Linked DNA regions of Bombyx mori. Each later gene encodes a partner of the first gene's protein in a complex. Links are inferred from orthologs where the notes say so. Each region holds a gene or a part of one and is shown on either strand. Other genes may lie near its edges.

The links.
Region 2: the proteins of ribonuclease H2 subunit B (region 1) and ribonuclease H2 subunit A are in contact, whole or in part, in a crystal structure (PDB 3PUF), measured with the Homo sapiens proteins. The link is inferred for Bombyx mori from reciprocal best matches to the Homo sapiens genes RNASEH2B and RNASEH2A. Residues at the interface, in NP_078846.2 of Homo sapiens: His16, Phe18, Lys39, Asn42, Gly48, Ala49, Ile50, Val63, Lys64, Val65, Phe66, Lys67, His70, Phe74, Val79, His86, Phe87, Val183, Tyr211, Gly214, Leu215, Asp218, Tyr219; in NP_006388.2 of Homo sapiens: Val227, Phe228, Ile253, Trp254, Glu255, Ser284, His285, Tyr287, Phe288, Arg291, Gly292, Leu293, Glu294, Ser295, Ala296, Thr297, Ser298, Leu299.

What each region holds. Positions count from the first base shown.
Region 1 is NC_085121.1:12,180,106-12,184,036, forward strand, and holds the start of ribonuclease H2 subunit B, read right to left. Parts: upstream 2,484-3,931; 5' UTR 2,308-2,483; coding exon 2,214-2,307; intron 2,137-2,213; coding exon 1,927-2,136; intron 1,257-1,926; coding exon 1,132-1,256; intron 727-1,131; coding exon 552-726; intron 1-551. UniProt on the Homo sapiens protein: Non catalytic subunit of RNase H2, an endonuclease that specifically degrades the RNA of RNA:DNA hybrids. Participates in DNA replication, possibly by mediating the removal of lagging-strand Okazaki fragment RNA primers during DNA replication.
Region 2 is NC_085129.1:8,833,059-8,836,989, forward strand, and holds the start of ribonuclease H2 subunit A, read right to left. Parts: upstream 2,291-3,931; 5' UTR 2,062-2,290; coding exon 1,917-2,061; intron 1,636-1,916; coding exon 1,406-1,635; intron 701-1,405; coding exon 557-700; intron 288-556; coding exon 140-287; intron 1-139. Other genes in the region: zinc finger protein 16, read left to right, coding at 3,194-3,931. UniProt on the Homo sapiens protein: Catalytic subunit of RNase HII, an endonuclease that specifically degrades the RNA of RNA:DNA hybrids. Participates in DNA replication, possibly by mediating the removal of lagging-strand Okazaki fragment RNA primers during DNA replication.

The DNA.
Region 1 (3,931 bases):
TATTGCTTAGGTGTGTGGACGAGCTCACAGCTCACCTGGTCTTAAGTGGTTACTAGAGCCCATAGACGCCCATAGACATCCACAACGTAAATGCGCCACCCACCTTGAGATATAAGTTCTAAGGCTCCAGTATAGTTACAACAGCTACCCCACCCATCAAACCGGAACGCATTCCTGCTTCAAGGCAGAAATAGGCAGTGTGTTGGTACCTATCCGTGTGGTCTCACAAGAGGTCCTACCACCATTAATTACGCAAATTATAATTTGCGTAATATAATTTTTTTATTCCTTCATCGTGGAAGTCAATCTCATCTTCACATCTTATCCTTGAGGCCACAACGACTTCATACCCGCCCGAGGTCAGAACCCGGTCAGAGTAAGGGGATTCTCGCAGTCAACACTACAACCAGACTCGCGGCGCCACTCCTAGTACGTCCAACCGACGGGTCGTCGAGGTGATAGTTGACGACCTACGGCGCCGGTCTCCGCGGCAGTTTAGATGACAAAGATCAACTTCTTTAACTTGTAGAGTATACTAGTCGTATTGGTACCTTCTTCAATTTCAACATTGTTTAAATTGCTAGAAACAAATGTCGCTGATACGGCTCCAGCTGTTACATGCAGATTTTTTTCTTTCAGTACTTTAGCAAGATTCCGGATCCTGTCCTCTAGCCATTTGTAGGTTTTTTCTTCATTATATTTGTATGCTTTCAACTCTACTGGACCCTACAAAATTTTTTCAATTTGATGTGGAAAAAAATTATAATAGTGCTAATAATCATAATAATGGTTTCTATTATATGTGTAATGTGAACCCATAAAGTACTACCAACTCACTCATTGCTACTGCGAACTGGACATGTATTTCAATTTAATGACAGTTATTTCACTACAATTAATTTTAATTCTGCTATCCATAAAAGCAACAGAATCAGAACAAATAAAAGTTGAGTAAACATGCAAGGGAGTTTACTGTTGATTCTGCTACATTCAATATAATGGTATTATGATCAAATTGATTAAGATTCAAAATCATGTGAACAAAAAATATAATTATTTTATATTTTTAAATATAATTATTTTATATTTTTAAGGTATTTATGTGGAAAATATATTTGATTGTTCATATACCTTACGGTCAGCTATTTTTTCCAGATCTTTCACAGTATTCACAATTTGATCATATCCCTTGTCAGATAGTAAATCCTCCAAAGGTACTGCTTTACTAGTGCATTGACTCTTCACTTTTGGAAGTACTGAAAGATGTAAAGGTATTAAAAAGAAATTGTCTGCATTCCGAATGTACTGAATTACTTAATTTTTTGCTTGGTTAAACTATATTTATTGGAAATTGGTGAATAATATTTCACTGAATTTTTAAAAGGAATTTGTGTTCACAAATAATCTTTCATTGAGGAAGGAATAATATCAAACCTGCCAAAAACATCAGATGTGCTGTTTGCAGGCTGTAGTGTATTCGTGAGGGTACTTGTTCTCCTTTTAATAATTAGGATTCCTAAGTACGGTTTGTATAAAAACAGATACACGGTGAACTGACTTGTTACCCAACACATATCAATGTGCTTAAGTTTATAATAAAATTTATTATTTAACATAATTATAGGGTATCCTGTAAATGACTGAATAATACTATTGAGATTTCAATCCCACATCAGAGGGTGATCACTATCATTTACTTTGTGATATCTATAAACTAAAGAAACCACTTATAACCAGATTGGCTACGAGTTTGCGACCACCCAGCCATATAAGTACATATTATATCAAAGCAAATAATGAATAATTGAAAAACTATTGTTTCAAATATGACATTAACTTCATTATTCAAGGTTTATAATCTGTATATGAAATAAAATGTATAAAATGATTAAGATGTGTTCAAATTAAAAAAAATACTATACTTACTTAAAAATAATGGATTTATCGGAGTCAAAATTTGCATACTAGGATCAGATTTTACTGTTTCTCCTATAAACCACGATCGATGTGGTTCGTTATATGTTACGACTTCAAATATTTTGTTGCTGACATCTTCCAAACAATATTTTGTTATTTTGCCAGTCGCTGGATGTGATAGATTGATAAATCGAAAATTCTTGTTTTGCAATAAGGACTCTGCATTATAAAGACTATTATTACAATTTATTAACGTAAATGACAAAAACAATTAACATACGTAGCGTTTTTATTACCTTTTGCAAGTAAAATCCACGTATTTTCCACGCGTTTAGCTATAGGTGTGTTTAACTGTTCCTTTGTTTTTAATTTATTTTGTGATCTAGTCATTTTTCTATATAAATTAGTTAAATCTTAATTAGTATCCACTGAATTTTTTACATTACAACTTAAACAAAATATCTAGTGAAAAAAAAATTATTTTAGGTTATGTCTGTTATGTTGTTGTTGTTACTTTTTTTAATTTTATGGCTTGGTAGCCTAGACCGTCTGTCTAGACATGTCTTATTTTAATTTATATTCTTATTTTTATGAAAAATTATAATATAGAGTGAAATGAAATGAAGATGATTAATTTGAGACTGTTGGACGGTTATCTTTTGAAGGGATTGGGTTCTGTAGGTGATGAGGGGCTATTTAAAAACACAACTGCTTCATTATAATTATATTGCAGATAGCTTTAACACTTTTACACCATTATACAATTTTTATCTTTATATTTTTTATAAAACTATTACATGTTTTTCATGCCGTGTCTAGATGAGAAGTAACTGACATTTTCTTACGAGAATACAATGATCTGTTTTTTAAAACATTTAAAATAATTCCAATATTCGAAATCTAATCAAGTGTCAAGTGTTGCCTGCCATTACATTTAATATACAAACTCCAACACACCCCCTCAACACTTGCACACATTTTTCTCCATCTATAATTTAATACCAAAAAAAAATAACGCTAACCTGACCTTCATAAATTAATTCTTTCCATACATACCTAAAAAACCTCACAACCACTTACATTCCGCCACTTCTACATAATCCCTCTCAATTCAACCAACAACTATTCATTCAACCTTTCAAACTTAATACTATCTTTAATGTCGCTACCTTTAATCCTTTCTTACTTCTCCAACTCCAATTCGATCAAAAATGTACTTTCATTCAACCATACAACCATTCAACCTTAACTTCCCTCTTGACTCACTATATAAAACCTTAACTATAATAGTCTAACTCCTTCTCGACTTCCTACATAAACTCTTCAAGTTTATTTAAAACTTTTAACGCCTTCTCAACCTCTTTACTTTAATAACCTTAAACGCCTTCTCAACCTCTTTACTTTAATAACCTTAAACGCCTTCTCAACCTCTTTACTTTAATAACCTTAAACGCCTTCTCAACCTCTTTAATAACCTTAAACGCCTTCTCAACCTCTTTAATAACCTTAAACGCCTTCTCAACCTCTTTAATAACCTTAAACGCCTTCTCAACCTCTTTAATAACCTTAAACGCCTTCTCGACTCTTTAACCCTTTAACTCCTTCTCGACTCTTTAACCTTTAACTCCTTCTCGACTCTTTAACCTTTAACTCCTTCTCGATTCTTTAACCTTTAACTCCTTCTCGACTCTTTAACCTTTAACTCCTTCTCGACTCTTTAACCTTTAACTCCTTCTTGACTCTATTACCTTTAAAACTCCTTCTCGACCTCTATAACCTTTAAGCTCCTACTTTTACCTTTAAACTCCTACTCGACTCTTTTACCTCTAAACTCCTTTAAACTCCTTTATCTCCTTCTCAACTTATTTAACGTCAATCTCCCTCTTAACTTCTTTAACCTTAATCACCTTCAACTCCACTCACAAACCACATAACTCATAACAAATAACCTCGCACAACTTCAACAAATTCAACATTTGAATTCACATCACACATACAAATCTTACATTATTCA
Region 2 (3,931 bases), on another chromosome or scaffold:
TTGCTTGATCAAATTACTTGTTGCTAAAGATTTTCTAATACATGATGCTGTATATCCTCGTTTATTAACCCAATATCTAGTATTCAGAACTTTGGTAGTGTTTTGAAACATTTAGTAAAAAATAATGTGAAAAACTCACCTCCCGGATATCCACTGCCAAATTCTGTGTGATCCAATTGTAGTCCCTCATTAAAATGCCATACTTTTAGTGCATGATCTCTGGTTACTTTAGCCACAATACTTGCTGCTGATACTATGGGATAGATGGAGTCGGCCTTTTTCGCCACCTTGAAACATTAATTACAGTTTTTAATTCCAAACTCATATCAATATAAGTTCTCCTTTAATAATCGAGTTTATGTACAATACATATTTAAGTAATACAATATACTACTTAAAATACTATCCATTTTTCCTGGACAATTATTATTATGCTAAATATAAAAAAACAGAAATGAATGACATTTATATACCATATACCTTACAGTATAATTCACTCTTTAAAATAAGTTTTGCAATCATTTTTAGTTTTATTATGTGTAACAAATATACTTACAGTTATTTTGTAAGAAGGAAATATTTCAGATAATTTTGTTTGATATTTCTCTGGAGGCCCCACTGTGTCCACATAAACTTCTGTAATATTGACACCACTTTCTGCAGCTTTCTTAATTAAATCTATTGCAGAATTCATTGACACCTGTAACAGTAACATAAGTATTGCAATATTCTTATATTGAAGCAAGCAGAGCTTTTTGCCGTAAAGCAATAATGCACTGCAATTTAAAAGATGATAGCTATTATACTATAAAATTGGAACTTGGACCTCAAGATGATAGCATTGACTCTTTTAATAAGTGTGCCCTTACCCCCAGGCTACCTTGCTAAAATTTTATCTCATCCGATACACAAACACAGGTTGTTGAGTGACAGAGGACTTTAGAAGATTCAACTCTGACATGCACTGCCTTCAACACATAAGCAAAGGGTCGTCTAATAATTCCTACCCGAAACAAAAATGAATTGACAACTTTTCAACAGTAATGTGAAGCACATTAAATGATGTCCACCTCTTCAACATGTGCCAAATTCACGCAATAGTCTGGTAATTATTGATGACCGCTCACTAACAATGTATTACTTCTAATAAGTGGTTCTACTGTAATTTTGTGTCTCGCTTACATATTTTTAATATTTTTTAATATTTTATACTTTCACCAAATTCATAAAAAAGCATTCTTAGTTTTTTATTTAAAATTTAAATTAAATATGATTTTTTTAATTACACTTAAATATTATTATAAATTTTTTCCATGAGAGCCTCAATGAATTCAGGAGTTCACTCCACTAATATCCCCACCTTTAACAGTGAGTGTATATGAATCAAAGAGCAAACAAAACTTACTTCATTTAATGAACATTTGGCTCGTCTGTACATTGAATTGGAAATGTAATTAGGTGATATGACTTCAACAGCCCAGCCAACATTATTGAGGCTGTCTTCCTCAGTCAACATCTTTGTGAATATTTCATCCCTTTTAGCTTCCGTAAGAGCTTTAGAGTCAGCACAGCCCAATTCCTCCAAAATACTCTTTCGATTTAGAGGGCAGTAGGATACTCCATACACCATAGGTCCTAAAACAAAACACACTAGATTAACAGTAACAATCCTAATGCTATTTATTTGATGAATATTGTAAAATACATGTCATACATTTCTACAATCTTAACTGTACTAACTACACTTTATAAAAAACCTATGAAATTCACTATAATAAGATTGATACAAACCGTATAAACCTATGAGACCCTACTGTAAAATAACTGTAACTAGTACATTTTTTTAAATTATAATTATAATTATGGATAGATCTCAATATTAGATCTATTTTTTCACCACATTTTAAGTTTCTTACCGAGCACAGGACCACGGCCTGCTTCATCCACTCCGAGCATGCAAGGTTCATTTTTGCAGACAGCCGGTACTTCAGAATTTATGACAAATTTAGTGAAATTATCTTTGGATTTAATAATTGCCTGTAATTCTTGTAGTGAGTTCATATTATTGATTACGTCTCAGTTTTAATGTATACCTAAAAAATCTTATTTACTTTACTTTTACTTTACATACCCAATAAATGCCATTTGATTAATTAATAAATAACTTCTTGGATTACGTAGGTATTAATTTAAAGTAAACAATTTGTCTGTCAAAGTCAATTGTCACACATTGAATAGTGAAACTGAAGATCATTGAAAATTTTATTTTCTTATTTTTAATTATTTGTTCGTAGTTTGTTTGTTAATGTTCGAATGTAAAAAATTTCGTCTTTTATTTCTTTATAATTAATTAAATAAATGATCACCCTAAAGTTGGCTCCCTTTACTAGATATCTTTATTTTTATCGCTTAGATTAATTAAACTTGATCAATTATAGTTTGTTCGATGACTATTAGTGATTGTTCGATGTTCAAAACAATTAAATTCCCAATTATTAATTATTTTATCTCTAATAAGCAATCAATCACCTTACGACTACATTGCGCATGCGCCGGTATTGAAAACTTCAACAAACTTCAATAATACATCAACAAAAAAATTTCAGTGAAGACGGCCAATTATTCGTTAAAGTACGATTAGCGCGGTTTTAATAAATTCAGTTATTTTTAATGATATTGAATATTAACAAGCATATAGAAATTTAAGTGATTTCTAATTATTCTAAGAATATTTTAGGAGTACAACTTTCGTGTTAAAATGATACTTGATCAATAAAACTATGATCTTGATGAATAAAAACTGATTATCGTAATTGGAAGAACTTTGTAGAAAAAAATTGGGAATATCGTACAGCCACACTTGCTGGTCCTAATTATATATTATCAAAGGAGACTCATATCCAACAAATGCACTTTCCAGTTTCCTCTGTGATCTATGCCATTAAAATCCATAAATCTCGTTTGTGAAGTCTAATCTATGATGACCATAAATTCCGCAAAAAAAGATTAGTGCAAGTGCAAAGCATAATATTTTTAGATGTAGAAAACAAGGGCGTCATCCAAAAATAATAATAAATTGTTGGCCGTGCACATAAAAGGTAATATTTTAACATAATTTTAATTTATCGTATCAAAGGTTTAAATTTTATAATGGTTGAACACTGGTTTGTAGGTTAGATTAGTCCGATCTAATATGCAGAACAACCCCCAGGAGCTTTCATGGCAGGCGATTGAAGCAATAGTGGGGGTTAAACTTCCTTCGAATGTCCTGCGTTTCGATGATATCGGATTCCATTTGGAAAACAATAGAACAACAGTGTCGAGTGTTGAAGATTCCGATTCCGACGTAGAAATTGTCGAAAATGAATGGGAATCGGACAACAACGTATCATCACGGCCTGAGCAATCTGATAACGAGAAGGGTTCGCCTGAAAGAGATCAAAGCGTGTCGCCCGTTCTACATCTAGTAGAGCCTGATAACAACAATTCAGATAAAGATTCACTGGGTTACAAAGATTATATCGAGAAAATGGATACCAAAGATATCATAACCGATAGAGACCAAATCATACCATTAAATGGAGATGATCCAGATAGCTCCAATGGGAATGTTATGTCAATTGAAAACTACTTGGAAGTCACTCTATCAACCGATTCTGATGCTAGTCATGTGTGCAACCAGTGTAATCAAATGTTTTCCAATGAACAGTTGCTTGCTTCACACCAATGTAGTGCAAAGTCTAGTGATGAAAGGAAGCATCCATGTCGAATGTGCTCAGAAAAATTCCCAAGTTACTGGGAGCTCCGAAAACATATGAATAATCATTTCCCTGGGATGTTAGATTCTAAGTCTAGTTTTTGTCATTTATGTCAAAAAGATTATACTAAGACAGGTTTCATGAATCATTTACGAAAACATACTGGTGAGCGA